Stegostoma tigrinum: one gene and its partner. The protein of the gene in region 1 purifies or fractionates together with the protein of each later gene. This does not show direct contact. Links are inferred from orthologs where the notes say so. Each region holds a gene or a part of one and is shown on either strand. Other genes may lie near its edges.

What was found.
Region 2: the proteins of phospholipid-transporting ATPase IG-like (region 1) and cell cycle control protein 50A-like purify together in Homo sapiens (co-immunoprecipitation; 4 studies listed by BioGRID and IntAct, with this or other methods). This does not show direct contact. The link is inferred for Stegostoma tigrinum from reciprocal best matches to the Homo sapiens genes ATP11C and TMEM30A.

What each region holds. Positions count from the first base shown.
Region 1 is NC_081368.1:4,262,082-4,269,769, forward strand, and holds the start of phospholipid-transporting ATPase IG-like, read right to left. Parts: upstream 3,018-7,688; 5' UTR 2,909-3,017; coding exon 2,882-2,908; intron 1-2,881. UniProt on the Homo sapiens protein: Catalytic component of a P4-ATPase flippase complex which catalyzes the hydrolysis of ATP coupled to the transport of aminophospholipids, phosphatidylserines (PS) and phosphatidylethanolamines (PE), from the outer to the inner leaflet of the plasma membrane.
Region 2 is NC_081362.1:27,361,851-27,369,686, forward strand, and holds the start of cell cycle control protein 50A-like, read right to left. Parts: upstream 3,029-7,836; 5' UTR 2,865-3,028; coding exon 2,649-2,864; intron 1-2,648. UniProt on the Homo sapiens protein: Accessory component of a P4-ATPase flippase complex which catalyzes the hydrolysis of ATP coupled to the transport of aminophospholipids from the outer to the inner leaflet of various membranes and ensures the maintenance of asymmetric distribution of phospholipids.

The DNA.
Region 1 (7,688 bases):
ACTAGGCAGATTTTCTTTCCTAAAAAGGAAATTTGTGAACGTGAGGGGTATTTTTCCAATACTGGACTTGAAGCTAAATGTATTAATACACAGGTCTTTTTTTTTTGCAGACAGAAAGAACATATACTAGCACTGCACCAGTTTCAACTCACTTACTGGTTCATTTATCTGAGTGACACTCTATCCAAGCAGGATCAACTAGCCTAGTTTAAAATTTAAAATTATGCTTGGCAGTTAACACATCAATGGGTGAATTGTCTATGGCGATGCCTCGATCAGTGCTCACTTGCCAACCACTTAGATAGCAAAAATGTTGGTTTGCCCCTTGATTCAGTGTTCTTGCAAAACGCCCTGATGAATGCAAGACAGAAAGTTTAACAAAAATGCATCTCTTTTCAGCAATAACAAAAGAGTTAAAAAATTTTTTAAAACTTAGCAGCTCTCCTATTTGATCAATTTTCCATCAAAAGAAGGTATTGCAAACTACCAAACTTGCATGAGATGATCCAAGAATAGTTTCCACTGTACATGGAAATCTTGTAAAATGTGCTACTAGCATGTTTAAGTTTGTTCAGTTTTGGTCAGATGGTGTAACGTGGTTATTAATTTCAGCAAAGTCTACATTTGAAAAATACTTGCGATCTTTGTGGTTGAGACATTACAAAGTGTGGGGCTGGATGAACACAGCAGGCCAAGCAGCATCTTAGGAACACAAATGATGATGTTTCGGGCCTAGACCTTTCATCAGAAAAGCTTTGTTATCTTGGATTCTCCAGCATTTGCAGTTCCCAGTATCTCTTAAACAGATTAGCTTTGATTTGTTCTGCTAACTAATATAAATAGCACAGAAAGGGCAGATATATATGCTACAGTCACCACATTACAATCTCCCAAATTTTCTTTCATAATCTTGAAGCAGTGTGCAGAAAATTGTATTTAGATATTTCCTTTTCAAATTTAGCACACATCTTGTTCAGCGGAAATTAGCAAGAAACCACCATAATAAGACATGAAGTTCTTTCATAGGAGCAGGGATGTCATTTGAACACTTCCCAATCATTGCTTGCGATAGTGAATTATAATAATGTACAGACTGTGCCTTTAAACTTATAAAAATCAGTCCTATTTTAGCCAACTACATGTCAATGTGGACATCATAGGTGTTTGTACTGTAATGCATAAGAGTCGACAATGTCAAATGTTAGCATAAAAATCACACAACGTGTGTATTACCTGACTGTAATTAAAGAATCGTTTTATAGTTTGAAATTATTCCAAAAACACTCAAATAAGTTTATACATTTGCAGTTAAACTTTCAAAACATGTTAACTAATTAGTTTCCATGCTATCTTGCGCAAGGGGTTAAAGCACTAATGCTTTAATGTCATGCTACATTTGCTTGAAAATATTTGACAACTGATTACAAAGAGACGTTACAGACTATAAAACAGTGAGGTGAGGAATTTGCTGCAGCATCTCAAGATGTAGAAAGTACATCTGGTCACCTTTCCCACTCCTACTCACTTTCCACTGACCTCTACCAGAAAAGACGTGCAACTATTAGTGAGGAATGGACTCAGGTTTAACAGAAGTGCAGCCAAATCAACAGACTTGTTCACATTGAAAGCGGTCAGATCATCAAATATTGGAGGATGGCTAGCACCGCGACACACATACCACACCGCAGCACAAGCCAGGGGCCAAAAGAAAACCAAATCCTTGGAATGTATTCCCTTATCTTCAATCTGTACAAGAGCAACTGCACCAGGGTGACAGAAAGATAGCTAAATCGCCACATTCCATCTAGTCCCTCACTCAGTAGAACGTGATTCACATCAAAACCGTCCGTCACTAATACAGATTGTGAATGAAATACCTCTACGATTTAACCTGCATCCTCCAAATCCCTATCCACAAAAGGTGGTACTGCTTATGAAAATAAGCCGATGCAGTGTCATTATTTCCATCATATTCAACAATAGCGGCTTTTAAAGCCTGTTCCCCATAAAATATGTTGCTAATTTTAGACGCGATGTGTTAATAATTGCCGTCACTAGTAAAAACATCTGTATATAGTTTACTGGAGAATTGCCTATTCTAACTGTATAAAAGCTAGTTGAGAACACTGCAGCCTATTTTACACGTTACACTGGAAATATTTACAAAATTGAGACAGCACAGTCCGAGTTCAAAGCACAGGCCACCAATCTTGGAGAGAAAACGTGCTAAATCGGCCAGAAAACTTATTGCAGCTACCCGAAACGCAACGGAGTAGCAGTGAAGAAATGAGAAACTTGTGCTGATGCGATGTCGGCACATCAGACGTCCCATAAGCATGAACGCAAATAATTTCTCACCGAGGACTGCAGCATGTTATCAAATAATCAATGCAATCTGCATATCAAAATGCAATATTTCAAACTTATAGATAAGCAAAACAAAACCGAAATAAAAACATCGCAAGAATGCAGCATGGCTTCCCTCCAAAGGAATTTTTAAAACACAAAATTTCACAAAGTAACGGGCGTGTTGATCGTATTTCTGCGATTAGAGGGGGGGGGGGGGAGAAAAAAAAGAGAAAGGAAGGGGGTGAAATGAAAAGAGAAAGGAAATGAGGACAACTTTGCAAGCAGAGGCGAGATGCACAAGAGGGTGGCTCGCGGGAGCTCGCAGCGGGTGCCGAGGCTCGCGCTGCACGCGGCGGCTCCCGGGGGTCAACGTTCGGAGGCGCCGCCGCCGGTCGCCTCAGTCACGGAGCCCGCGCCTCAGAAGGATTTCACGAATCCCCCTCCGCTACACCAAACAACCGCCACCGCCGGTAAGAGTTAAACTGAGCTTCCAAGCTTTCCCCCCCGCCCGGGCGGAGCGAAGGACACTCACCCATCGGTCGATCGCACAGCGAAACATGTCGCGCCGTTCTCCTCTCTCTCTTCAGCCGCTGAATTCCGGCCTCGCCGCCGCGGCCTCTCGACGCCCAAGCATTGCAGCGGAGTTCGCTCGGCCGTCCCCCACCAACCAAAACCCCCACCCAAACCCTCATCCACCTGCCCCGCCACCGGTCCCCTCTCCCTCGGGGTGCACGGTTTCAGGCTCCGAGCGATTTCCCTTTTAACGATTCCCCACCCACCCCTTCCCCTGGCCCCGCCTTCACTCTATATCGTTCCTCCCCTTCAGAGGTGGAGAGATCGCCATCAACACGGCTCGGCGGGAAGTCACCGTTTCCCCTGATCGTTCATCTTTTCACTCCCTCCTGCCTGCCAGGCCGCCGAATGGCCCGTTCTCCTTTCACACCACTGCGCATGCCCTTCCCGCGCTGAACCATGGGGATTGTAGTTCTTCGCCTACCGATGGAAACTACTCAACTATCTTTAAAGGCACCATGCGTCCTTTCCTCGCCAACAATGTTGCCGGGCCGTGGTAATGTCGCTCTTTCTGAGAGTCAGGAGGCATGGGTACAAGTTTAGGCAGGCGACGGCCTCGTACTAGAGATAATGGGAACTGCAGATGCTGGAGAAACCGAGATAACAAGGTGTGGAGCTGGATGAACACAGCAGGTCCAGCAGCATCTCAGGAGCACAAAAGCTGACGTTTCGGGCCTAGACCCTTCTTCAGAGAGGGGGATGGGGAGAGGGAAATGGAATAAATAGGGAGAGAGGGGGAGGCGGACCGAAGATGGAGAGAAAACAAGATAGGTGGAGAGGAGAGTATAAGTGAGGAGGTAGGGAGGGGATAGGTCAGTCCAGGGAAGACGAACAGGCCAAGGAGGAGGGATGAGGTGGTAGGTAGGAAATGGAGGTGCGGCTTGGGGTGGGAGGAAGGGATGGATGAGAGGAAGAACAGGTTAGGGAGGCAGAGACAGGCTGGGCTGGTTTTGGGATGCAGTGGGGGAAGGGGAGATTTTGAAGCTTGTGAAGTCCACATTGATACCATTGGGCTGCAGGGTTCCCAAGCGGAATATGAGTTGCTGTTCCTGCAACCTTTGGGTGGCATCATTGTGGCACTGCAGGAGGCCCATGATGGACATGTCATCTGAGGAATGGGAGGGCGGGCTGAAATGGTTTGTGACAGATGGTTGTTTGTTGCGAACCGAGTGGAGGTGTTCTGCAAAGCGGTCCCCGAGCCTTCGCTTGGTTTCCGTGACGTAGAGGAAGCCACACCGAGTACAATGGATACAGTATACCACATTGGCGGAACACATCTGCTTAATATGGAAAGTCATCTTGGGGTCTGGGATGGGGGTGAGGGAGGAAGTGTGGGGGCAAGCTCCAACACATCCCTCACCTTCCTGGGCCTCTCAGTCTCCATCTCAGGCAACTAGCTTGTAACTGATGTCCATTTCAAGCCCACCGACTCTCACAGCTACCGAGAATACACCTCCATCCCCTATTCCCAATTCCTCCGCCTCTGCTGCATCTGCTCCCATGATGAGGCATTCCACTCCCGCATATCCCAGATGTCCACGTTCTTCAAGGACCTCAACTTTCCCCCCGCAGTGGTCAAGAACGCCCTTGACCGCGTCTCCTGCATTTCCCGCAACACATCCCTTACACCCCGCCCCCGCCACACCGCCCCAAGAGGATCCCCCTCGTTCTCACATACCACCCCACCAACCTCCGGATACAACGCATCATCCTTGGACACTTCTGCCATCTACGATCTGACCCCACCACCCAAGCTATTTTTCCATCCCCACCCTTGTCTGCCTTCTGGAGAGACCACTCTCTCCGTGACCCCCTTGGCCGCTCCACACTCCCCTCCAACCCCACCACACCCAGCTCCTTCCTCTGCAACTGCAGGAAGTGCTTCACTTGCCCCCACACCTCCTCGCTATAGCCCTTAATTCCTTGTGAGATCAAGAAATTATCAGTCTCTGCCTTGAAGACATTTAACATCCCGGCCTCCACTGTGCTCTGTGGCAATGAATTCCACAGGCCCGCCAGTCTCTGGCTGAAGAAATATTTCCTCATTTCTGTTCTAAATTTACCCCCTCTAATTCTAAGGCTGTGCCCACGGGTCCTAGTCTCCCCACCTGATGGAAAATAGTGTTGGATCATGGCAACAATGGAAAAGCTTTTCACTGTACTTTGTTATTCTCACCATAAAATACACATGACAATAAAGTTATTCATTCATTCGTCTATTCATTCACTTGCAGTGCTGTTGACAGATTTGGGCACTACACATGAGGAAGGACATATTAGCATTGGAGGGAGTACAACTTTGCAAGTATGATACCTGGACTTCAGGGATTGTATTATGAGGAGCGATTATAAAAATTTGACCAGTCTTCCCTAGAATTTAGATAGTTAAGGGGTGATCCGATGAAAGTCTTCAAGATTCTACAGCAAAAGACAGAATAGATAAAACTATTTATACTGGCTCGGATTCTAGAACTAGGGGACATAGTCTGAGAATTAAGGCCACAATGTTCAGGAAAGGTGTTAAGTAGTATTTCTACACACAAAGGTTGGTGGATATATTGGCATTCTGCTCCACAAACACCAGTGGATACAGGATCGTTTGTTAATTTTAAATCTGTGATAGAAAAACTGGTTAAGCAAACTTATTAAAGGAAACAGACCAATGGCAAGTAAATTGAATTAGGCCACAGATCTCCTATGATCTCAATGAATGGTGGAACAGGCTCAAGTAGCCTGTTCCTATTCCTATGTTATCTTTGCCAAAGGCCTAAAATCAGCGATCTGTGCTTCACTACCAGTTTTTCTGCATGTACGAATAGTATCGGGACATGACTTTGAAAGCACAGTCCACTCCCAAGCAAGGAAGTATAGATGTTTTCTAATCAGCCTGTGCAGAGAAGCTATTGCACACCTCTGGAGTATCTAGGACTCCTGGCTTGGAGTTAGGGACATTACCACCACCCCGATTGAGTTTCTGATGCCTCTGCCTTGACAACATTCTCCATCACAATGCCTGTATTCATTTGTCAACAATCAGCCCACTTTGCACATGCGATATAAATTGCTGTTCCGTTTAAAATTTCATATTGTAGCATTTATCATGATGAATGTATAGGGGTTGGGAGGTCATGTTGTGGCTGTACAGGACATTGGTTAGGCCATTTTTGGAATACTGCATGCAATTCTGGTCTCCCTGCTGTAGGAAGGATGTTGTGAAACTTGAAAGAGTTAGAAAAGATTTACAAGGATGTTGCCAGGGTGGAAGGGATTGAGCAATAGGGAGAGGCTGAAAAGGTTGAGGCTCTTTTCCCTGGAGCATTGGAGACTGAGGGCTGACCTTGTAGAGGTTTATAAAATCATGAGGGGCACCAATAGGGTCAATGCACTTGGGCTTTCCTCCAGTGTGGGGGTGTCCAAAACTAGAGGACATAGATTTAAGGTGAAAGGGGAAATATTTAAAAGGGACCTGAGGGGCAACGTTTTCATGCAGAGGGTTATGTGTATATAGAATGAGCTGCCAGAAGAAGTCATAGAGGCTGGTACACTTAAATGGATTCTGAATGGGGATATGAAGAGAAAATGTTTAGAGGGATAAGGACCAAATGCTGGCAAATGGGACTAGATTTATTTAGGATGCCAGGTTGGCATGGATGAGTTGGACTGAAGGGTCTGTTTCCATGTTGTACAACTCAATGACTCTGAATGCGAGGCAGAAAGTTTCAACATACTGTCTCTTTTTTGTGCAAAACTAAAATTTATTTTTCACAGTGAATAACTAAAATCTGGAATGTACTCCCTGCAAGCATGTGCCATTTCAGTTGTGTATTCAAAGGGGAATTGGATAATTATCTGAAAAGGAAAATAAATGCTACAGGGCCACAAGTGGTAGCTTAATTGCTATTGTGGTGAGTCAGTGCTATGTTTCCATTCAATGCACTATGGATCTCTCATTTAAGTTATTGTTCCTGTTGTTGTATCATTCTTCTTGTTGGATTCCACTGCATTCCAACCAAACATTCCCAAGCTGGCCAAAATGGTAATGCTATTCTAAATTACCACTTTCTTTCAATCTTCCCTTCACTGATCTTCACAAATTTTCCAACTGCATTGACTTCAAAATGCTGATCTTGATTAATGAATATTCTTCTTGATTAATGTGCTCTGACCTCCTCCATTGGTGAAATCTACAACCCCATATGCTTGGCCACTCCATTTTTCCCAAATTAATGTCTGTATTAATTGGCAGCCCTGCCTTTTGACTATATGTTTATTATCTAAATTACTGGCACAATGTGGCTGCGGTTTGTTTTGTCTATAAAGTACACTGCAGCTATTCACCAAGGTTACATTACCAGCACCACCCTGGCTTGAATTCTTTGTGACTGAAAAAGAGAGAAACAATGTCAGGGAAGTTTCTGGTTTGGACGTATATTTTATTTGTTATCATGCATTATCCAATTCTTATGTTTTTCCCATCTAACAGACATGTGGCTACATAATTGTTGTAATCCTTTCCGTAATAGCAGGTAAAGGCTCATCAGCAACACTTCAGAGCAACTGGGTTTGGGCAAACATTGCAGTGCAACCATTGAATACACTGTTGCAAAGCTTAGTCGAATATCTGATGTTTGTAAAATAAGGGGGAAGAGTGCGTGGTCTCTTTAAAAGATGATGTGCTTTTCCTAGGCTTGGAGATTTTAATAAAATGTGCAGGCCTACATGGAGCTTTTGAAATTGATACATTGTACCAAAGGTCTGTGTGGTTA
Region 2 (7,836 bases), on another chromosome or scaffold:
GCTAAAAGTGAACAAGAGGACAGGAATTTCTCTTGTCCTTCAGACAGATGAAAGGCTTGCTATCAAACTCATTCTCGCCAGTTTTAATAATAATTACCAGACTTTGTTATTTTTCAACGATGCCTCAAAATAAAATAAAATGTGATATAAGATACTATTCAGAGGTAACAAGGGCAATTTAAACTGAAGATTCCTGACCAGTACTCTTGAGAGATATTGCATTCAGCTTTCAAGGGCTAAAAAGACAGGCCCTGGCTTGCAAGCCACACATCTTAATGGGATTATTTTACAGTTATTCAGAATCATTGAACCTGAAAAGAAATTGCATCAGGCTGAAATCCAATAATTTTACCTCAATGTTTATTTTTTAAATTCCCTTGCTTTTTCATGCACCATATTGTAACTGGGGCAAAAAGTTTATGATAACAAGGCAACACATTTGCTGGAATTTGCCAGTGTCATATTTGGTCCTTGGTCAATTACAGCCCAAGTAACTAAAATTTCTTCTCCATAGGAGGGGGGAGAAAAAGGAGCTGCTAGGTGGAAACTATTTTTCCATAATGGCCTGACAGAAATGAGTTCATTCTCATAGCATCATGAAACCATACACTTCACGATTAAAGTTATAGGACAGAGTTTCAAGAATTGATGGCACTCTGATAGTCAGTTTGGCACTGAACACACAACGTTTATCTGCAAAATGAATTTACGTAATGAGACATACACTGATACTTGGTAAATTCTTAGCCTAATGTAAAGTTGATTTTTTTTATATCAAAATCTGCAGATAAACTCAGTTTTTGTCAAGGTACATGATTATGATTCAGCAGCTGAAGTGTGCACTTCTTGGTAAGTCTATTTGCTGGGCAGTAACTGGCACACACAAAGGCACATGAGCAAAGCAGAGAACAAGACCTCATGACAGGCATGTGGCTACCCACAGTTGGTGACACCAAAGGTGGGGAGCTCAAAAACGGCAGAAGGAAAGCAGAGCCCAGTAATGAAGTTATTCTGGCTGAAAAAATTGTTTTGTGAGGAATGGATGAGATTGGTGGAATGGATATGGTTGGCAACAAATGCTTGGAAATAGCACAGGAGGGATTAGAGAGTAGCATAGGGAATGGCATGGAAGGAAACAATGAAATGGTGGATTTGTTAAGTGTGACAAATAGCAGGGACAATTATTTAATGGTTTATTATCCAAAAGTTATTTTTGATCTTAAATCAAGAAAATTCACCAGATTTGATGTTTTTGCAAAGATGTATTATTTTAATCATTTGACATGAACGTTGTTTCAACAGATGAAGCTAACATTCATATCTTGAACGTCTATACAATCTAACCTGAAAGGGAATGCCACCACACAAATAAATTGAAGAATGGAGTAGTTAGAATACCGCTTCAAAAACAGGAATCCTAAACAGCGATAATCATGGAACAAGGTTCGTAGATAACATGTTGTTATTTTTCCAATGACAGACAAAAAAAATTATAATAGCAAAGAGACTGTACATTCAAATACTATTGAGCTCACCGGATCTAAACCTGTCTTTTCAACCTGGGAGAAAACAGTTTCCAACAAGACTTTCACATTCTATAGTTTTAACCAAATAAAAAACAGTCAGAGCCCTAACAAAAATATGTACTTCTGTACCATGTTTACGCATGGACAGTTTTAAGTAGTTTAATTCCAAACATTGGCATTTTGACTCTGTTGATATATTTGGTGAAAGAATAACTATACTTCCTGTAAAGAGGTACAATTTCAGTACTAATATGATTGAAACATTTTAGTAGGTCTCTTGTTAGTTTAAACATTCAAACATTTAAGATTTATAGATTACAGTAACCGAGGATATGACCTTAATCTCTTTCATGATAATTTAGCAAAAAAACAAAGAAATTTGGAATTAGGCACAAATGAGGTAGTCATTTCCCAAAGTTTCAAGGTACTTCTGTTACTCCACATTCTGACTGTTGTCTCTGTAGTACACCTTGCCTTTATCTGTCTGTGTTGCTGATCTTGCCAAAGGTTTGCAAAAAATAAAGCCAATGTTAAGGAGCATCAATTGATAAAAGGAAAAATAATTAAAATAAATGTAGTTTGCAAAATCTGGAGGTACTTTAATTAAAAACATTGCTAGGTAATGCAAAGCAGGCCATTCCGTTCAGAAAGCATCTTCCAAATAAACCCAAAAATACCCAACGATTTAGGATCTGCAATCTACGTTGGTTCCATGCTTAGAGTGCTCGCATTTAAAAGCAGGGTGTCACCACAACACTGCCTACAAGTGTTCCCGATCATAACGAGAAACGATATCATTACAGATGTTTCAATAATGTGTTTTCACAGATTAGTTTGGTATACATTAGGTCTGATCGAACTAAACACCATTCCTCCAAAAGAATACATCCAAAAGGAATGCTTCTTTGCAGATTTGCAACTTTACTACTGATAACCACACTATTATATATTGGCATAGACCGAAAAGTTAAAAACCTAATGGTATCAGTGTCTAGGGTGTGCCGTACGTAGACCAATAATATTAAGGAAGAATTAGGTTGACAATTGTATGCCTTGGTTGACGCTGTTCCTCATTTGTCCTCAACCTCACAAAGCTTACAGTGCTTCCGCCACGGGACTTACCTCGAATTCTTTGATGTTGTTGGAGGTGACGAACAGGCCGATGCCGATGGGGATGAAAATGAGGCCTATTATAAAGAAAGCGGGTAAGACAGTGCCGGCGGTGAGAATAGGCTGCCAGGCGGGGAGGCGCTGCTGCTTAAATGCGGTGTTGTCCGGTTTCCTGCTCTTGTGCTGCTCACCACCATCATCATCTTTGGGGGAATAATTAGTTGCCATTTTCGGCTCAGACCCCCCCCAGTCAGAGCGGCCACAAGATCACGGTCTCTACGATTGACACACCAAACCCCAATGTACCACTTACCGCTCGGACCTAACCCCTGAGGAGAAAGAAGGAACTAATCCCGGAAACCAAAACCCGAGTACGCTGCTACGCGATGACGTCTATAATTAACGTCATCGCATGATCACGTTCAAGGACGTCATGACGCTCTTGAACATTCCGAGCTGCTGTTTCCATAACGACCAGTAAAGCGTTTCGACAGCAATTTGTTACAGACCAATCAACATTCAGCTGATGGAAGTCTAAGACATGATGAATTGTTTGTAAATACAGTCTTAGGGGCTTGACTAACACTAGGACTTTACTGATATTCCAGGCTGGAAGATACAATAGAGAAAATACCTGAAGATGGCAGGTAGAGGAGTGAAGAGGTCCGAGCGTGGAATCAAACAAAGTAAACAGCTCCCTTAATTATATTACAGATAAATTATGGAGAATGCAAAGCGCTGAAGCAGGATATTCCGTCTAAGTGGTGCTTTGCTCCAGACAAGCCTTCTCCAAACCTCCATCCGGTTTCTTGCTCGTATGTTACTCACCGTCACCGTCTTCGGGGGAAAAAATAGTTGTCATTTCGGCTCACACCCCTCAGTCAGAGCGGCCACAAGGTCAGACTCTCTACAGTTTACCGAAAGAACTGCGGATGCTGTAAATCGGGAACAAAAACAGAAGTTGCTGGAAATGCGGATCTGGCAGCATCTGTGAAGAGGTATCATAGTTAACGTTTCCGGTCTGGCGACCCTTCCTCGGAACTCTTTTCACAGATTGCTGACCTTTTCCAGCAACTTCTGTTTCTGCAATTCACACAGCGAAAGGAGACTGGACCAGACAAGCTGAATCCACCTAACCCCCAATGTCCTGCTTACCGTTAGTCAGGATTCCAAGGTGATACGTCCAAACAATTCCTTATGGCTTACACTTTTATGGGAATAGTGTTGATTGGCTGATATGCTTCGCATTTCTTCTCTTTAACTAGCTTCACAGTCAAAGCACCGAAAATTTCATCTACTCCCTGTTTGACCAATTTCTATATTTCAACTGCTGTCTGGGTTATTTTTCTGAACATCCACATTGGATTTAGTGAGTCTCAAGCTTATGGCACCTTGCACTCCCCTAAAGGAAAATCATGTTTAGTGAACTTGCTGGAGTCTTTTGAAGAGGTAACAGAAAAGATTGATGTGGTTAGCTCAGGCTGGATGGTTGGTACACAACACAAACTGATGCCAACAGTGCGTGTTCAATTCCCTCACTAGCTGAAGTCACCAAGATGAGGTCAGCTATATCACATTCCTCAGTGACAAAAGCAAAGTTGCTTTAAAAGCTCAGCAGGCCTGGCAGCATTTGTGAAGGAGAAAACAGAGTTAACGTTTTGGGTCTGGGGACCCTTCGCAGGGTCATTAACTCTATTTTCTCCTTCGCAGACGCTGCCAGACCTGCTGAAATTTTCTAGCAACTTTGTTTTTGTTCCTGATTTACAGCATTTGCAGTTCTGTTGATTTTTATTTGGTCCATATTCCTCAGTGACTGCCTGCTGCTCAGACTCTCCCCAGAGCCTTGAATCCACCCAGACTCACAGTTATCTCTATGATGTTCAAAGTTCGACAGACAGCTACCCCCCGCGACCCAGTACTGAGTTCAATTATTTTAGGTCCTGAACTCTCCCATGTCCTAGCCCCCTACTCCACACACCAGGCCTTGTTATCAAATAGTCTGCCAGGACACACTACCTCCTGTTGAAAACCAAAAGAACTGCGGATGCTGTAAATCTGATACAAAAACAAAGTTGCTGGAAAAGCTCAGCAGGTCTGGCAGCATCTGTGAAGGAGAAAACAGAGTTAATGTTTTGGTTCTGGTGATCCTTCCTCAGAACAGATGGTGGCTGGAAAAATGTCAGTTTATATACAGAAAAAAAGGGACAGGGATGGGGTCGGGAATGAAGGCTACCTACTGTTAGTCACCAACGGTTCCCATCAACAGCTTTTCAACCTCCTAGCCAGATCATTATCAACTCCTTTATGTGTCCAACTGTTTTTCTCTCTTGTTGGGCTCTTTCCCCACATTTCATTTATTTCTCACAACCTCCCTCCACTCTATCCTCTGCCTATATGCAGACATTTCCTCGCTACCATCAGTTCTGAGGAAGGGTCACCGGACCCGAAACATTAACTCTGATTTCTCTTCATAGATGCTGCCAGACCTGCTGAACTTTTCCAGCAGCTTCTGTTTTTGTACTTCTTGTTGTTGACCATAAAAGTCCTGCCTTCTTGACCCGTTTCCCTAAGGCACTGTGAACCTATGGTTGACCTCCCCACCAGATGTCTTTCTCATGAGAGAGAAGCCCTCTGGTCCTATGGGACTATGATTTAATAGTATACATGGATTTTCAAAAGGCATTTGATACAGTGTCACTCAATAGACTTGTGAGGAAAATTATAGGTCATGGTTATAAAGGTGACAATAGTAACATGGATACAAAAATGGCTGACTGATAGGAAACAGAGAGTAATGATCAGTGGAAGGAAGAATTGTAAACTGCGAAGAGGACTTTATGAAACTCCAAAAACATATTGACAAGATGGTGGAGTAGATGGATAGATGACAGACGAGGTTCAATCCAGAGCTATTCTGGCTCGTAAAAGAAGGAATGCCAAGAAAGCATAGATTTAAAGTGATACGCAAATGAAGCAAGCAAGTTGTGAGAGAAAATGAAAACACTTGGATATAAATGGTGTAGGCATGTTGGACTAAATGGCCTTTATCTGTGCCATACCAATTTGTGATTCGACGCTTCCATTAATTGATCAAACCCTAGTCACCCCAATATTAGTTTTCTGTGTGAGTTTAAGGATAACCTGGAAGATTCTCAGTGTACAGTGCATTAATTTGACTCTACCTTGACTGATGTGATCAATTTGCTCAACAATTAAAGCAAACATTCTGCTATGAGGGTGGTGTAGAGGGGCGTCAGGTTGTGGTTCCACACACATAAGGAACTATTAGCACCTTGATTAAGTTCCCAATTTTCAGAGAATTGTCGAATTTTTACAGTTTTAAGGGGTCCTTCAACCCATTCTGTCTACCCCAACTGTCACATATCCAGAGATAATGGGAACTGCAGATGCTGGAGAATCCAAGATAACAAAGTGTGAAGCTGGTTGAACACAGCAGGCCAAGCAGCATCTCAGGAGCACAAAAGCTGATGTTTTGGGCCTACACTTTGTCATCATCACATATCCATCTATTTTATTTCTATTTTCCTGCACTTGGCCTGTATCCTTGTAACCAATGTCATTTCAAACGTTCATCTATATACTTCTCAAATGATGTGAACTTCTACCACCCTTTCAGCAATGAGTTCCAAATACCTACAACCCTCCAGATGCCAACTCTTCAGCCAATTCGATTCACTCCACGTGATATCAAGAAACAATTAGTGACACTGGATAGTGCAAATACTATGGGCCCTGACAATATTCTGACAATAGCACTGAAGACTAATGCTTTAGAATTTACCACTCCCCTAGCCAAGTTCTTCCAGTAGAGCTAAAATCCTGACATTTACCTGACAATGTGGATGTCCTGTTACAAAAAGCAGTAGAAATCCAACCTGATCAGTTTCTGCCCCATCAGTGTACTCTTGAGCATCAGCAAAGTGATGGAAGGTGTCATCAGCAGGGGTATCAAAGCAGCACCTGCTCAGCAATAACAAATTCACTGACATCCAGTTGATCTCCACTAGGGCAACTCAGCTCTTATCTCATTACAGCTTTGGCTTAAACATGGTCATAAGAACTGAACTTCAGTGGTGAGTTGAGAGTGATTGCCCTTGAAATCAAGGCCACGTTCAACCAGGTGTGGCATCAAGGACCCTAGCAAACTGGACTAAATGAGAATTGGGTCAAAACTCGCTGCTGATTGGAGTCGTATCTGGCACACAGGAAGATGAGTAGTTGTTGGCTGTGGCAGTCAGTCATCTCAGCTTTAGGACATCTCTGCAGGAATTCTTCAGGGTAGTGCCCAGGGCCAAACCATATTCAGCTGCTTCATCAATGATCATCCCACCATCATAAGGTCAGACGTGAGAGGATGTTTGCGGATGACTGCACAATGTTCAGCACTATTTACGACTCCTAAAACATCAAAGCAGTCCATTTTCAAATGCAATAAGATCAGTAACATTAATCAGACTTGGGCTGACAAGTGGCAGGTAATATTCATGCCATACAAATGTTGGCCAATGACCATCTCCAGTAAAAGACAATCTAACCACCACCCCTTGATATTTAATGGTGCCACCATCACTGAATTCTCCACTATCAGCATCCTGGGGTTACGATTCACCAGAAACTCAACTGGACTTGCTGCCATATAAATACAATGACTACAAGGGCAGGTCAGAAGCTAGAATACTGTTGCAAACAACTCACCCGCAGACTCCCCAAAGCCTGTTCACTGTGTATAAGGCACAAGAGATACTGCCGACTTGCTTGGATTGGGTGCAGCTTTAACACTCAAGAAGCTTGATACCATCGGACAAAGCAGCCCAATCAATATGCACCGCATCCACAAGCAATCACAAGCATCACTGATACTCAGTAGCAGCAATGTGTACTATCTACAAGATGCGCTGAAGAAATTCATCAAAGACTGTACCTTCCAAACTTGTGACTACTTCCATTGAGAAGGATAAGGGAAGCAGATAGGGAACACCACTTCCTGCAAGTTCCCCTCCAAGCCACTCACTATGCTGACTTAGAAACATACTGACTTTCATTGTCACTGGGTCAAATCCTGGAATTCCCTCCCCAAGGGCATTGTGGCTCCAGCACATGAACTGCAGTAGTTCAAGAACACAACTCACCACCACCTTCTCACGAGCACCTAGGGATTCTCAATAAATGCTCATCAGTT